Linked DNA regions of Tamandua tetradactyla. The protein of the gene in region 2 interacts with the protein of the main gene of each other region in a pairwise test. Links are inferred from orthologs where the notes say so. Each region holds a gene or a part of one and is shown on either strand. Other genes may lie near its edges.

Region 1 (8,316 bases), on a different chromosome or scaffold from region 2:
CAGCTTTGCTCACTTCCAGTTGAAGAGCACTGTGTGGTGGAGAATCTAATCATCAGGGCAAATCTGGAGCATTAGGGTGTTGGAAAGTCTGAGAACCCAGCCTGCTGGGCAGTGGCCTCTCCCCAGAGCAGCATGGGGTCCTCATTCTCCTCAACAAAAAGCCACATGGTTGAAATACCAAGTTACCTCTAAATTATCCAGCCCTGCTTTACTATTCACATTTGATGGCCTACATATACTTTATGAATCATTTTTACTACAGTAAAGATCTTTCTTGTCTATGAGTTTAATACAAAATTCCCTTTTACTGAGCACTCACTATTTCCTTGGCACTCTCTTGGGCAGGGGTGCAGACTGCAGCCCAGTGGCCAAATCCCACCTGCTGCCTGTTTGTGTGCAGGCTGTGAGCTAAGTCTGGTTTTACATTTTTAAATGGTTGAGGGGGGATCAAAAGGAGAATTCGATTTTGTGACACATGAAAATTATGTAGAATTCAAATTTTAGTATCCACAGATAAAGCTTTACTGGAACACAGCTACGGGTATTTGTTTAGGTATTGTCTACTGTGGCTTTTGCATTGCAATGACAGAATTTTTTACAGAGTTAGTGTGGCTGTGCTGATGTAGGGGTTTCTTGTGCAGTATCTGCAATCCGCACTTCAACCCTGCAATGTGGGCATCCTATTACTATCTAATAGAGAAGATAACCTTCCACAGTGGCACAACTGGAATTTAAACAGAAGATATGTGGCAGCCACGCCCCACGTGCTTTAGCAGCATGACAGAGGCCCAGCGGTAAGCTGTTTTCACCTCCTCTCCCTCACACCACCCTAGGGAAATTAGGTGCAACATTTGCAAAGTAAAAGCATTCTTTGCTTGGCCAATTCAGACTTGCATACAAGTCCTCAGTATTCTACGTTCTAACAGTAGTAAGGTAAAAGGGTGATTTTCTTTCCAAAGCCACAAGGATGACACTGAAATCATTATTATTGATAACAGGTCTTATTTAGTGTCTCTCTGAAACATTGTCATTGACATAAATTAATAGTCATGATGAATTATAGAGTGATGAAATCAACTCCAAATGTAAATATCTTTGTTTTAAAGGCAGATATTTCACTTTGAGGATCTTAGTTACAAGTTGTCAATTTTCCAGAAGGGGGTGTTCTTTTAGTTCTTTTATGGGTGCGGATCAGGTCCACATGTCTCACACCAGCTAATGAGGTAGTGACCATAGAGGTGAAGCCACAAAAACTATATTTTTAAAAATCAAAACAGTGAAGGATGTCCAGGATTGGGTTTCATTAGCTGTAATGTGTTGGTGTGGGCACGCATGCACACACACACACACACACACACACACACACTCTGAAAGTGATGGCAGACCTGGAGGAAGCTTTCAGATTGTTATCTAGTTCCACCACGTGATGACAGGTGAGCAGCCTATGACTAAGGCAAGTTCAGGGACATTCTCAAAGTCATATGGTCCGTACACTCTCTCCCCTAGTGAGCCAGAGCAGGGCTGGGATTAGGAGTTCAGCCTGCAGTTTTCTTTCTACCTCTTAGGGTACCTATCCCTTCCCTCCTGACAAGTTCCACACCCTCTCTGCTTAAGATCTGGTCCCCCAAAGGAAAATAATTCTTATTAACATAGGCAGTCTAGAAGCTACTTGAAATGAGCCATCTTTACATTATTTGGATACAAGCCTGTTTCTTAAAATGCAATATTAAATTGGTTTCTTATGAAGGTGCAAGAATAGTTCAGTGGCAGAATTCTTGCCTGCCATAAGGGAGACCCAGGTTCAATTCCTGGTCCATGCACTTCCCGAAAACACAAACAAGCGAAACAAACAAATAAACAAAATTCAACAAATGGTGCTGCAACAATGAGATACTCACATGGAGAAATAATGAAATGTAACCCCACCATACAGCATACAAAAACAAACAGACAAAAAACCCGCTACTATAAATTGGTTTCTTATGACAACTAAGTAGACAGAAGCTGGTGAGGATGCAAAGCACATATGTATTGTGGTCAACTGCACAAAAAGGGCACAGTATGACTCCCAAGTAAGCAAACTTTAAAACAAACAAGCAAAAAGAAAACCACAAACAGGTATATCCAAAAGAAGGCTAATCCCTTTGAAAGGCTACAGAACCTTCTAATGAATTGCTGTCCATCTGAACGCTGACACATAATGATGCTGAATAAATGCAAGCATATCATACCATCCCTATGATATATTGCATATTCTTTGTCAGTGCTTGGAGAGCCACTCTGTCTCCTGTCAAGTATAACTCAGGACTTTAAAGAAAGTTGTTCAGTTTTTAAAAACCTGAACCAGTCCGGTCAGCGCATTGCCTAGCTCATTCTCTGGATTTGGTCCCAAACTACTTTGGGCCATTAAAAAAAAAATCTAATTCACTCTAAAAGGATGAAGATTTTCTTGCTGTTGGAGAAGGACTGAGCTCAGAATTTATGTCCAAAATCTAAACTTCAGAGGCTCTTGGGGGGCTTTTGGTGTGATTAGGAAGAGAAAGGGGCCTCTAAGAAGCCTTGCTTGATCCCACCTGCCGGGAACGACTGAATGAATTGCCCAAGTCATGTTTTTTTATTGTTGTTGACAATTCGGGTCACCGCGATTTATAGTTGTCGCTCGCTGTTTTGCTGAGAAGTAATTCCACTCAGAGCGATTTTTTCCCATCAGTTCCTCATGGATTTCAAAGAATGGATAAGGGGATAGGCAGCTGATCTCTACCCCTAAAGCCAACCTTGCTCAAAGGAGAGTGAAGGGAAGGCGTACTCTTCCCTCCCCGACGTGGGGCCTGAGGGACAGTTCCTGACCTGTCCTGTTCCCTTTTCCGTCTGGTTTCGGGCAAGTGCATGGAAAGAGCTAGGAGATGATATATCTTCAAACTCAATCCTACCATCTTTAGAGTCTGGAGTTCTCTCTACATTTGAGGGCTGTGGATCTGTGGCTGGAAGGGAAGGTGGTAGGAGTGGGGGGTAGGGGGTGTCTGTCCACAGAATTAAGGGACTTGGATGTCAGGCCCCATTGTTTGGGTGGACAACGCTACGCACGCGTGCACACCCGGTGTCATGTACCTGAGGCATGTGAGGATCATTGATGTCCCAGGTGAGCTTCATCCCGTAGGGGCACACGCAGTCTGCCTTCCGCTCGTCGTCGGCCGGCATCTGCCTCGCCTCGCTCGCGCTTTCAGCCCAGGATCCTGAAAGATACACACACACACACACACACAAAAACCCAGAGGTGCGTTGGGTGACTCTCTTTAAAAAGAAAGTGGTGCGCGTGGACGTGCGCGATATGTTTGCATAGGGATGGAGACAGAGGTAAAGGAGCAGGGAGGGAGACAGCGAGCAAGTGAGTGAGAGATGGAAAGATTGCAATTTGTTCAGAAATCCGAAGTATCAGACGAGGGTGCGGGACCCAGGGGAGCCCTGTCCTCCCTCGTGGTGCTGAAAGGTCTCCACCCGTAGCCTCGGCGGCTACAGCGCTTCTTGCGGGTTTGCAGCACTTTTATATAGACGTGCGCTCAACTCGCCACCCTCGCCACCCTCCCCACCTCCACCGCGCCTCCCCTCCACTCCAGCGCCAGGAACCTAGGGGGGCTTTGAGCAGAGCCCTTGGGGCGAGGGAACCTGCAGCCAAGATTGGGGTTTGGGGTGGGTGGGGGTGGAAGGTAATGTGAGGAGATCAGATTATCTCATCTAAGTTTAAACCCTTTCTTTCTTTCTTTTTCTTTCTAAAGAGCCCCTCCTCCGAAGGTGAGTAGTAGACTCAGGCGGAGGTTTTTGAAGCAGGGGTGTTCCAGCCTAGTCCTCTCAGAGCCAAGACAAATCTGGGACAGTAGGGGAGTCGTGCGTGGGGCCCTGGGCGTGCGGAAGGTCGCACCCTTCTGGGTTGGCGGTGAGCCGTGTTTGGGCCCCTGTACCCGTGCTTGCCTGTTGGGAACGTGGACGGGAGCGCGGAGCCCAGGCGCACCCACGCTGCCGGGCCCTGCAGAGGGACCTGCTCTGCGGGAAGAGGGTCCTGGAAAGTGAAGCCAGGAGAAGTGAGGGAAGGCGGGGAGAGGTGAGCCTGGGGAAGGTAGCGTGAGAAAGGGGCGGGGGTGGGGGTGGGTGGGGGTGGAGGTGAGTTTCTCGGCTCCAGGCTGGGCCAGAGCGTCTCTCCAGATCCAGAGCTCATCCTCCTGCCTGGGCTCCCTCTGGGCCTCAGTTTCTTGTCTTTTAAGCGAAGGATTGTTATTCAGTGAGCTCTTGGTTGCCATCCACCTGAAACAACCCTTTAAAAATCGCCAATATTGGTATGGTCATAGAAATACCATGACAAAATCATATCTGCTCCTATGCCAGGCTCGGGAGGTTTTCTGGGGGCTGGAGGGCCCCGTCCCAGAGGGCAAACGATGCTGTGGGTTCCCCAGGGCCGGGAAGAGGCCTTCTTCACCTGGGCACCTAAGCGACTGATTGCCTGATCACCTCACCTTCACCTCATCTCCTCATCTGGGGCGATTCCCGCTCCTGGAGGCGCCCAATAAAGGAAATCGAGTGAAGAAATTAAGTTGCTCTTTTGGTCACACCTGGGCGCTGGGCAGCGAGGAAAGATGGGCTTCCAGAATGTACTCCCTGCTCCGGTGTTAGGCAGCCGCGTCCTTTGGGTCCCCAGCTCCAGCCACAGGTAAACCGGCCCCTAAAGGCGGCTCGCATTCCGCCAAACCCGAAGTCTGCGGCGTCCTTGACCTTGACCTTGACACCGCCTGGAGCTCGAGCCGGGCGCACCGACTACCCCTGCGCAGGTCTCTGCTGCGGGGCGCATGCGGCGGTGCCTCTCGCAGGATTAGCCCCTCGTGTTGGCCAAGGCAGGAAAAGGCGGGCGCGTCTGTGCGAAAAAAGCCCCAGAAGGCGAAGTTGCTCCACGCTCGCGATCCTCTTACCTCCAGAATCACGGGCATAGGCACGCTTCCTTAGAAAAGTCAACGGGACAGCGAAATGTATGTCGTGGCAGCCCGCCAGTGGCGAGCTCCCGCCGGGGGAAATGCCAGCTTGGGGCAGTTCCGTGCGTTTTCTTCTTCCTCTAGTTTTAACCTGGAGTTGTCCTAAGCACAGCAGAAAAGTCCTGGAATGTGGATCTGTTCATTCCCCAGCCTTCTGTCCCCCAAAGTTCCCCTCCTTGAACGGCCATGTCTCTCAGGGTTTCTGATTAGGGGCGCTCTCAGCTGGTCGCTGTGAAGGTGTAGGTGGAAACGAAGAGATGCGTCTGCTCTTCACCCAGGATTATGAGCCACAGACTCATATTAACCTTTGGATTCAAGAAGGTCCCAGCAACTCCTCTCATTCAGTTCCTTTTTGTTGTTGGGCTGCAAAACACAAAATTAACAATTCTCTCTCTCTCTCTCTCTCTCTCTCTCTCTCTCTCTCTCTCTCTCTCTCAGCAATTGATGTTTTGTCAAATGTGATCGTTTCAGATAATTTATACTTTAAAATGCTTTAAAAGGGGTGGGCCACGGTGGCTCAGCAGGTAAGAATGCTTGCCTGCCTTGCCCGTGGACCCGGGTCGATTCCTGGTGCCTGCCCATGTAAAAAAAAAAAATGCTTTAAAAGCACCTTTAAAAATATTCACTTAAAGTTACCTCTGAGAATGCACAGAGATGAACTTCTGGTTTTCTTACAAACATTATTAGACTGTTTCTTGCCTGTATGCTTTCAGAAAGTTCCTAGAAAGTCCTTACCCTTAAAAAATATGAACAAATATAACTTTTTAATGTTAAAGGCAAAAACCATTAATCACATGCTTTTTCTAAATGGATTCTGGTGTCCAAAATACAAGGTCACAAAGCCTCCATCACGTTTAGTTTGAGAACAAATAGAGGATATGTTTCAAGTTGACCTAAAATTATGGTTGGGTGAAACACGTTAGTAAAAGAATCCAATCAAAGTATAATAACAATTAAAATAAGTGACACTGTTGTCTGTTATCTTTAATGTCTTTTGAATACGTGAATGCATCACATCCTAGAGTTTGGAAAAATATTTTCCCAAAAGTCTGAAAATAATTTAGCAAAAATTTCTACCTAATAAGAAAAGCTTCGCTGTGTTATTTTTCCCAAAACAAATGCATTTTCAACTGTATTTTACCGTGGTTTTAATTATCCTTTAAGTCTTTCTTGCCTGGTATTTGCAATAATTCAGAACAATTTATAATGTTGCCAGCTGTCCTTTCCTTTATTACTATTTTTATATTGTAATATCCCATTACTTCAAAAGGAAAAGAACAAGCCTTCGAATTTCCTAGGTTTAGATTAAAATAGGTAAATTAATCTAGGTATATTTACACCATGCATACCAGAAAGTGGGAACTGTGCAATTAGCATCGTTTTGAGTGAACTTGGAGGCAAATGCATAAACCTGGATTTACAGAGATTTTGGTCATATATTATGTTCTACTTTGAGGTAAACAAATATCTTCTTGAAACATCAAGCCATGAAAACCCACGTCACGTGTTATAGGACAAGTCGATTTTTATGCAAGGAATATTTGGATTTGAGGACTTTTGTTCATTCGTTTGTCTTTAAAGAAAACTCGAGATCCATTTATTTTTGCCACTGTGAGCAAATAACCAGATGGCCTCCCCGCTTCAGACCCTGTCATTGGTGCACATTCTTGTCTGCTTAAAGGAAGTGAACAGAAAGGAAGCCAAAGTGGGTGAAAATATTTGTTTGTTTTGACTTGTTATAGCCACAGTACTTAAAACAAACAAACAAAAATCTTCTTTTGTAATACTAGGAATCTATCCGCTATTTGGAGTCCAAGTCTGATCGCTATGGGAAGAAGTTTCAGCTTTTGCCTATACATTATTACTGTATTAATGAATCCAAAACAGCCCACCAGGCTGCAGGTGTTTTAAGGCGGAGAGTAAACTGTAAGGCGGGCCTGCGAAAAGCCTGGGAAGACTCACGCAACGAAAAGTTCAAGGGGCCTTGCAGACAACCTCTGAGTACTCGCTTTCTCAAAGGCGCACGTGTTGGAGGGTGGGGGAGACGCGCGCCCAGGTGATCTGATGGTGATTGCTAGCTTCTTGCACGCATTTCTTGAGTCGCCACCACGAGGCTATAATTGATTTCAGCGGCGGGGTTCAGCAGTTTGCGTCCCCGGTGAAGATCCCTAACCTCAGCGCGGCTGGAGCGCTCCAGCCCTGCGTGTGCGGCGTCCGAACCCGAGACGCGGGATGCAGACGGTGAGGGACCGGGGAGACTCCCGGGAGCCGTGAGTCGTCCGTCGTCGCGCGGGTGGCGGTGAGGGCGCGGCGTCCCCCAGCCCCAGGTCCTCACCGCTCGGGCGCAGAGCCTGGCGTATTCGCCTGGGAATCCCGCGCGCGGGGCACGGTCCCCAGCCGCCAAAGGTCGAGCCCTTCCCGGGCCCTTTGAGCGCTTCTGCCTTCTTAGGTTTGCTTTAGAGTTTCAATCAGACAACGAGGCAGGATACAATCTTCTGCTCCCTCATTACGAAGCACAGGAAGGGAACGGGAGAATTTATGTCCAGAGCCAGCGAGGTAGTTCTTTTCAGGTTGGTGGGGGATGTTTTGCCAGTCCTCCTTCCCCTCTTGCATAAAAATTGCAGCGACCTTAACCCACCGGGCCCAGAACTGCGGTCCCTGGTGCTGCAATTTCAGCTGAGTCCCTTAGAAATTCTAGCCCCTAAGGCGCCCGGGAAGCTGGGGACTCCGTAGCGCCCAGTGGGCGGAGTAATTCATTTACTGAATACTCTGCTGGGGAAAAAGTAAACGAGTGTGGAGCTGGGGTTTTGAATTCATTCTATTTTCCATATTTATAAATAACGACGATAATAAAATTGTAAAATATGCTGATATTTAAAGGGTTGGTTCAAATTCAGCAGCTAAAGTAGGACTGTTAACCTAAACTAGGTTTAAAAAAAATAAAAACGCTTTAGAGACTTTCTAAAAGATATTTTTTTATGTATTACACTTTTCAATGAATGTTTGGTTGAAGGGAGTAGATATTTAATATAATTGTGTAGTTATTGGACCGTGTAATGTGAGCCGTTGGCAGACGCGGGTTCGCTTGAGAATGTGCCACAGTTTGCTACTCCATGCTTTGGACGCTTCCCTGGGTTCTTGATATTTGATCTTTAAAATTTAAGATAAACTTCCCAGAGTGGCATTTAAAATACATATAAATCGGAAGCAAACTTAAGCACAGGACTGGGCTTGAAAGACAATTTCATTTTACAAGCTCTCATTCTGAAAACACTTTTAATTCAAACCTTTCTTTTAATTT
Region 2 (8,316 bases):
TCTATCCGTCCATCTGTAAATCTGTCTGTCCAGCTATCTATTTATCTATCATACCTATCTGTATGTCTTTTATCTGTTGTGTGAACGCTGGAGAGTAGATTGTGTGCATCATGCTTCTTGAACAGTCTTTTTCATTTTACTCATGTTGGCGAACATGCTAATGGTATCTCATCATGATTTCAATTTGTACTTCCTAATGACTAATAATGCTGAGCATCTTTTTGAGGGCCTGTTGCCCACGTGTGTATTTTCTTCTGGGGCGTGTCTCTTCAAGCCATTTTATTACTGAGATGTAGGGTAGAAACCTTATCTATTCAATAAGGTCTTTGCAAGGGATGTTTTGCTAATACTTTCTGGAAAACTGTACCTTGCAGTTCTTTAAGTTAATGGAGTCCTTGGGAGAGTAAACTTTTTTTATTTTGATGAAGTCTGATTTATCAATCTTCTTTTATATGATCACTGCTTTCCGTGTCCTAAGAAACGGATGCCTATCCCCCAGTCAAGAAATATTTCTCTGCTTTTTTGTCTAGATTTATGGTTTTGCCTTGATGATCCACCTCAGACTAATTTGGGGGTATGGTGTGAGGGAAGGATCGAGGTGTATTTTTTTTATGTGTGATAACCAGCTGTTTCAGCATTGTTTATCGAAAATATTTTCCTTTCTCTGATACACTGGCCTCTGTCAAAAATCAATTAACCTTAAATTTTTGGTCAAGTTCTGAACTGCCTGGTCTTTCTCAATGATACATTTGCCTATCTTTATGTAATACCAGCTATCTTGATTATTGTAGCTTTATAATAACAAGGTTTGAAGTGTGATAGTATAAGTTCTTGATATTTTTAAGGTTTTTATTGACCGATCTAGACCATCTGCCTATCCATACAGTTTTAGAATCAGCTTGTCAATTTCTACAAAAAAAAAAAAATCCTGTTGGAATTTTGATTTGGGTTTTGCAGTGAATCTAAAGATTAAGTTTGAGAAACCATATTGGGTCTTCCGACCCATGAGCGTGCTATATTTCACCATTGAGTTGGGTCTTCTTTAATTTCTCTCAGCAATGTTTTTCAATTTTCAGGCCAGTCGTGTGAAAGGAGCGATGACAGGGCTTGCGGATGGATTGGCTGTAGGGTTGAGGAAAAGTCCCCGGGGGAAGACTAATGCTCAGGTTTCCGCTTTGGTCCCTGGGTACAGATGAGAAGGAAGGAAAGAGCTCCTCTTGTCCCGGATGTGAGGTGAGCCTGGTGACCCCAGGACCTTGCGCTCGACCATCCGAAACCTACCTTCCACCCTGGGTTGGACCCCCGGGCCACCCTTCCTTCCTCTGCTCTGCGGGCCAGAAGGCCCGGGATTCTCGCACCAGCAGGGTCCTGACAGGGCCACGGAGGGTCAGAAAGCCCCTCCCTCCCTCCCATCCTGGCTTCCCCAGCTGATGAGACTTGCCCTGATTCCCCAGCCAGGCTGCTGGGCGTGACCCCTCCTAGCAGGCTGCCCTGGGGTGGGGCGGGCTGGGAAGAGAAAGGGTCTCCTAGAGTCAGACACAATGCCCCTGTCACAAAGAGGGATGACCGCACGTGCGTGTGCAAGCGCGTGTGCATGTGGGGAAGGAGAGCAGACTCATAGGGGGGCCCGGGGCTCAGGGAGATCATAACATCCAGAGAGTCAGACTTGAGGAGAGAAGCACAGGGGGAAGACAGCCCAAGAAGACAGATGGGGGAAATCAGAAGTACAGAGCAAGGGAGGCGCCAAGGCAGGGAGAAAGACAAGACGTGAAGGGAAATTAACAGGGGAAGAAAGAAAGAGGCAGAGAAAGATGCGGGGAAAGAAAGATTGAAACGGGAAGATTGGAGGTTGAGAGGGGTAGGGGAGTTAGATAAAGGACAGACGGTGAGGCTAAGCTGGGGATGGGGCAGATGGAGAAATACAGCAAAATGAGGGACAAAGAGAAAGACGGGTGCAGGGAGATACAGGCTGAGCGAGAGAGACAGAAAGGGGGTGGCATGGGACAGAGAGAGATGGACCGAGACCCAAAGAGAGGTAGAGAATCACAGAGGGAGGGAGAGAGACAGGAGGTGAGAAGAGTGCACACAGGGAGATGGACCGACATGCCTGATGGACAGAAGAGAGACTGAGGCACAGAGACGCAAAGCCAATGGGCAGGGAAGACAGAGAGAGAGAGGGAGAGAAGGAGAGAGGAGAGAGAAGAGCAAAGAGGAAATGGAGAGAGTTGAAGTTAATAATTCACAACATAGAGCCGAAGAGACAAAGAAGAGTGAAAGAGACCAAGGCAGAGAAAGAGAAAAACAGGAAACTGAGGCAGAAAGCTGAAACAGCAAGGCAGTGCAGAAATGAATTTGTTGGCAGGCAGACTGCTGGAGCAAAAGGGGGACTCAGCAGAGGGGTCCAGAAAGTCCCTGTGCCCCTCGTTTTATCAAGTGATCTCCCAGGAGCACCCAACATTTCCCCTCCGTCCTCTTTGATGCATCCCTCATCCCCCTCCTTGGGACAATGGCCAAAGCTAGAGAGCCACCAGTTAGACCTAAGGAAGAACTTCCCTGAGGGGTGGGGGTGGGGGGGTTCCGGCCAGAGGCAAGAGCTGGGGCTGTCCTTCCCCGTCAGCCCTAATTGCCAAGATGTCTTGGAGGGGGATGGGAGAGGATTAAGCAGAGGGGTGCCCCTCCCCCTCCCGGCAATGTCACCTCCCGGTGCCCAGGCGCTCCCCCACCCTGGCCAGGATTACCCTCCGAGAACCAGGCCACGGCAAGTGACATCACTCCCAGTCGGGGCTTAAAACCTCTCCGTGGGAGGGGTCCCGTTTCCTTCGGTCTCTGTTCCCTGAGGACTGGTCCAGGACCTGGGCCGTCGGGAGAGTCCCCGATCCCTCCTTCCAAAAGGTGAGTGCGTGCAAGGCAGGCAGTGGGGCCAAAGGAAGGAGACGGGGATGGGGGAGGGGGTGTCTGCCTTCTTTGTGCCTGTGTCCCCAGCGCCCGGCGTGGGGTCTGACATAAAGGGGGTCTTCAATGTGGGCTGACTGAGCCCACCTGCAGCAGGGGCATCATCCCGGTGTTGGGAGAAACGGGGCTGGGCTGGGACTGCAGCAGGAGGGAGTAAGGGTAGACTATGGGGGAACTGCCACCAGGTAGAGAGGATTGGGGGGTGGTGCTTGCTGGTGAGGTGCTAAGGTGACGCTCCATCGGTTTTCAGGGACCAGGGCTCCTCGGCTCTGCTCACAGGCAACTCCGAAGCCTGCCTCCCTTTCTTTTAAGACTCATATCACTGCTTGGAATTCATACTCACTTGTGAGTTTATCCACAAATTATCTGTGTCCCTCACCGAACCCAGATTTCCTCCAAGGACCTGGGCATGTGGTCGGCCGCCTCTGTAATGGCTGAATAGACAGACGGGTGAATAAGCAAAATAGAATCCAAGAAATGCGTATGCAGGGGTCATTGAGATTTTGCGGCTGCAGCAAGAGGGAGTGAGGGTAGACTCTGAGCCAGTCCTGGGAGCTCAGGGGCCAGGAGGGCCACAGGCTCGGGGAGGGGCCGGGTCAGCCACTGACCTGCGTGACAGCCCCAGGGCCCTCCTTTTCCCAGCCTTGGTTTCCTCCTTGGTGACAACAGGACCCACCCCATAGGGGGCTTTCACTGGATTGCTGTCTCCTCCCCAAGGCCTGGTGCAGGCGGGAATCCCTGGAGGTCCTTATCGTTAACAGCCTCCTGACCTTGGCAGGCACCTTCCTGCCCCAGGGCTCAGTTTCTCCACCTACAGGAGGGGTTTATCTCCAGCTTTCACACTTAGCCTGCAGATCAAGCGCTCAGGGGAAACTCGGGACCCCTGGGACACGCGATACCTGGAGCTCTGAGAAGCAGTCTCAGGCCTCAAGGGCTGCTCCCCAGGGCAGGGGTCGCCCCTCGCTCCACCCTTTGGGACAATGAAATGTTGTCTTGGAATACAACCGAGACTGAAGGATAGTAAAACCTAGCCACTCGGGGTGCTGTCAGGCTCGTTGCAAATTCCTGGTGGAAGGGGGTGGCCTTGCTGAGATCTTGGACACAAAGCCTTTGGCTGGGGATCTGAGAAGCTCCAAACTCCTGGAGCTCCTTCTGTCACCGGCTGCCTCACCTCTTTGCAAAACCCACAACAAGAGTGTTAATGGGTGTTAGACATTATTTTTTGTTGCTAGTCTTTGCTGACATCTTGTCCACCCACCAGTTCCTGGATATCTGGTGAGTGTGTAAACCCTCAATTCCTGGAGGTCATTGCCATTAGCATTGCTGGACCTTGGGCAGGCGCCTTCTTCCTTCAGAGCCTCAGATTCCCTACTGGTGGAATGGGCTCATCCCAACGTCCTGGAAGGACAACTGCATAGCTGAGTAACCTGTGCAGATTCAACGATGGGGACAAGGGAAGTTGGTGCTTTTTCCCAGAGCCTGTTAGGACAAGTCCACCAGTTCCCCTCTCCACAAGTTCAGATCAAGCACTATTGCTCCTTGGAAGAGTGGACGAGGGCAGAAGGGTCCCCAGCTGGGAGAGCAGGAATCCCAGGTCCCCAAGATTCCTTTAGGAAACTGGGCAAGTCATTTTGCCAGATCCAGGAGTCTTTTCTCATCTGTAACATCTGGGGTGATGGGACGTTTTGGTGATGGATGGTGTCAACAGTCACACAACATTGTGAATGAAATTAATACACTGGATTGAATACTTGAAAGTGGTTAAAATGAGACATTGTATGTTGTATATGTGTTACCACAATAGTAATAATAATAAACAACCACTACAGAACTGTACAACATTAGCATGAACCCTAGTGTAAACTATGTACTTTAGTTAATAATTGAAATATAATAATATTGGTTTGTCGGTTGTAATGGTGAAATCTGTGTGTGTGTAGTATACGGGAATTCTGAACCCTCTGCATGATTTTTTCCATCAACCTACAACTGCTCTAAAAACTAAATAATCTTTAAAAGGTGGGCAAAATAATAACACAGTTCCTACCTCCTAGGGTTGTGCTGAGCATTTAATGGCATGCTGCAAAGGGGACGCTTGTGTATTACTTACCTATTGCTGTGTCACAAACTCCCCCAAAACTCAGTGGCTGAAAACATTAAACATTTATTACCTCATAGTGTTAATGGGGGTCAGGAATCCAGGGGTGGCTTAACCAGATGGTTCTGGCTCACAAGGGGGGCAGGCAGATGTGTACCAGGCTGCAGTCCTTCGAAGGCTTGATGAAGGCTGGGGGAGTCTCTTCCAAGGTGGCCTCTTGCGTGGCTGCTGGCAGGAGTTTCCCTGCACAGAGACCTCTGCAGGGTTGCTTGAGCATCCTTACAACATGGCGGCTGATTTTCCCAGCGATCCAGGAAAAGACAGCAAGGCAGATGTCACCAGGTCTTCTAGCCTCAGAAGTTAGAGGCTGTAATATTTCTATAAGATTTCTGTCATGTCCTGTTGGCTACGCAGGTCAGCTCTGCCATGGAGGCCAGTACTCAGGGTATGACGGTCAGGAGAGAATGGTCAGGCACCATCTTGGAGGTTGGCTACCAGGGCTGGATGTGTGGGATTCCGTGCTGTCATCGTCCTTATCTGCACAGAACTTCGTATGCCCGTCCCTCCTGGCCCTGCTGATTCGACTCCGCTTCCCACTTGCTTACTCTGCTCCTGTCATGTTGGACACCTTGTTTGTCCTCCAAGAAGCCTCCTGATCTTTTGCACCTGCTGTTCCTTCTGCCAAGATCTTCCCAGGGTGGGCGTGTGGGCTGTCACATCTCAGCTCCGGTGTCACCTCCCCGGAGAGACCACCCCCCCCTCAAATGGGGCTCCACTCCCACCAGATCTGGTCACCGTCCTGCCTCCCACACCCGGCATTTCCCTCGGCATTCTAAAAACCATCTGAAAACATCTTGATTTTCAAAAAATCTATCTCTTTGTTCATCGTCAGTTTCTCTGACTGCAACCCGTAAGTTCAATTGTGTGAGAACAGAAATGACGTGTGTTTTATTTCTCATGATATTCCCAGTTCCTAAAACAGGCGGACCCTCAGCGGTACTTAACACAATGAACAGGAGAAACTTAATTTCTAGTAAGTAGGACCTCTCCCTACTCCTGTGAAGGATAAGATGGAAGAGAGGGGGTCGTGGGTGCTAAAATAAATGCCATCCATTTTTTATTCATTTGTTTATTTTTCAAATATTTATTGGGGATGCTTGAACTAAAAGTTATGTCTAGTCCCTGCTGGTAGAATCGGGGGACAGACAGACAAACAAACATGTATGTCCTATTTAATATAGGGTATGTCCTGAATGACAGGAGAGAGAGAAAAAAATGTGCCGGCGTGTATGTGACGCCCAATGTAGAGGGTGAGAGATGGTGTCTGAGTGAGAGGGACCTGGTAGAGGAAGGGGGCTTATCTCAACCTTTCTGATGTGGGGAGCGGCTGAGGCCAATACCCAGAAAGGCTGACAGGTTTCCTGGGTCCATCTTGAGGGTTTGATGTTTGTCCCCAGGGCCATAGGGAGCTTGGAAAGTTTTCAAGTTGTGGTTGTGTTTTGAGATCTCCTTGTTGGTTTTGCATCTGCAAAGGTGACACACAGGCACACAGGGCTAAAAAGTAATCCAAACTGTAAAAATGGGGAGTGGATACAGCACACCTCTCCAGAGGCAATCAGTTCTGCCAATGTCTTGTTTCTTTCCTGGATTTTGTTCTATGCATATACAAGCATATATCATATGACACTTTTATACACATACAACAATCTTTAGACCATATATATATATATATAGTGTATGTATGTGCATATATATATATATATATCCACTGCCTTGTTTTTAAATTCACAAAAAGTAGCATATGCTACACACTGCTCAGTACCATACTTTTTATTTGAATATATGTCATGTATATATGTATATAAAATGTGTATTATATGTATTATATGTTATGTATTTTATATGTTATGTATAATTTGATTATACATAACATCTATTACACACACCTCTTATAAAGGTGTAATTCTGAAAAAGCTAAAAACTTGACTCTCAAATACCTATATAATAAACACAGGTCAGGGATTTATTTAGCTCACTAAGAAGGGAACCTGCTGTTTCAAATGAGAATTCAAGGAACAGAGGTTCATACAGTTATTCAAGAAAAGGCATGTAGAAAAAAAATTTGCCAGGTTCAACACAAAATTTGTTAAAGTTCTACAGGACAACCAATAAAACTGCAATCTTTGAGGTTATCTTTTTACCGGATAGAAATCATTTGCAACCAGAACTTCTAGAAGTTATCATCTACCTGACACTGTCTACCCCAATCAATAATAAATTCAACATTTCCCTAGAAAATGAAATAATCCTAGAGATCTTTGAAAATCAGTTCATGGAGAACAGCCTTACTCTTTTTCATGACTTCATAATATTCCCCTTGTGTGGATGTGCCATTATTTTCTTAATAATTTTCTCTTTTGCAAGTCTTAGAGGTTTCTGGCACTCTTAGGAAATCATAAATATCCTGGGTTTAAAATGCTTGTATAAAGGACCTGCTTGCAAACAACAACAAAAATAATTGCCTTACTAAGCATTGGGTGCTATTTTAAGCACCTTAATCGTGTTAATTCCCTTTAATCTTCACAACCACCTAAAGAGGTAAATGCTGTTTTCATCCCATTTTACAACAAGGAAACTGAGGTACGCCCTGAAGGCAAGTTACTGGGGCCAAGGAAATGTGGCGATTTACGCAATCCACACTGCGACCACCTGACACAGGGAGCACGCTTCTTCCCAAGGAGGCAATGCTAAGAGTTAGCGACCTCATATCTCAGCCAGCCTGGCAGCTCGCTGGCTTTCAATCACCCATCCCTGCTTACCGGACTGGCACAGCTTTAGCACTGAAAGCCCACCTGTGTCCCAGGACAACTGGTCAACCTCCGCCCTCTGTATCTGAAGCCGAACGTCTTTTCCTGTGGTCATAAGGAAGAAAAGATCTCAAAAAAGGGGAATGGTGGATCAGATTTTCATAAGGATAAAATAGTGATACAGGCTTCCATTTATGCTGCTTCTCTTAATTTCCAGGGTTGCTGTAACAGAGTACCACAGCCTAGATGGCTTAAATAATAAGGAATCTATTGTGTCCTGGCTCTGGAAGCTACAAGTCCAAAATCAAGGACCAGGCTTCCTCTTAAAGGGGAGAACCCGCTCCACGTCTCTCCCCTGGCTTCTGGTGGGAGGGCTGCATTCCATGGATTTCCTTGGCTTGTGGCGGCATCACTCGATTCCTGCCTCTGTCATGTGTCCCATCTCTCTCTGTGCGTCTG

The links.
Region 1: the proteins of CRX (region 2) and GCM2 interact in binary tests that used the Homo sapiens proteins (3 or more experiments, as listed by UniProt). The link is inferred for Tamandua tetradactyla from reciprocal best matches to the Homo sapiens genes CRX and GCM2.

What each region holds. Positions count from the first base shown.
Region 1 is NC_135351.1:13,858,965-13,867,280, forward strand, and holds the start of GCM2 (chorion-specific transcription factor GCMb), read right to left. Parts: upstream 3,199-8,316; coding exon 3,109-3,198; intron 1-3,108. Other genes in the region: SYCP2L (synaptonemal complex protein 2-like), read left to right, coding at 5,015-5,077, 6,806-7,050, 7,146-7,256, 7,465-7,585. UniProt on the Homo sapiens protein: Transcription factor that binds specific sequences on gene promoters and activate their transcription. Through the regulation of gene transcription, may play a role in parathyroid gland development.
Region 2 is NC_135342.1:13,270,566-13,278,881, forward strand, and holds the start of CRX (cone-rod homeobox protein), read left to right. Parts: upstream 1-5,192; 5' UTR 5,193-5,336; coding exon 5,337-5,392; intron 5,393-8,316. UniProt on the Homo sapiens protein: Transcription factor that binds and transactivates the sequence 5'-TAATC[CA]-3' which is found upstream of several photoreceptor-specific genes, including the opsin genes.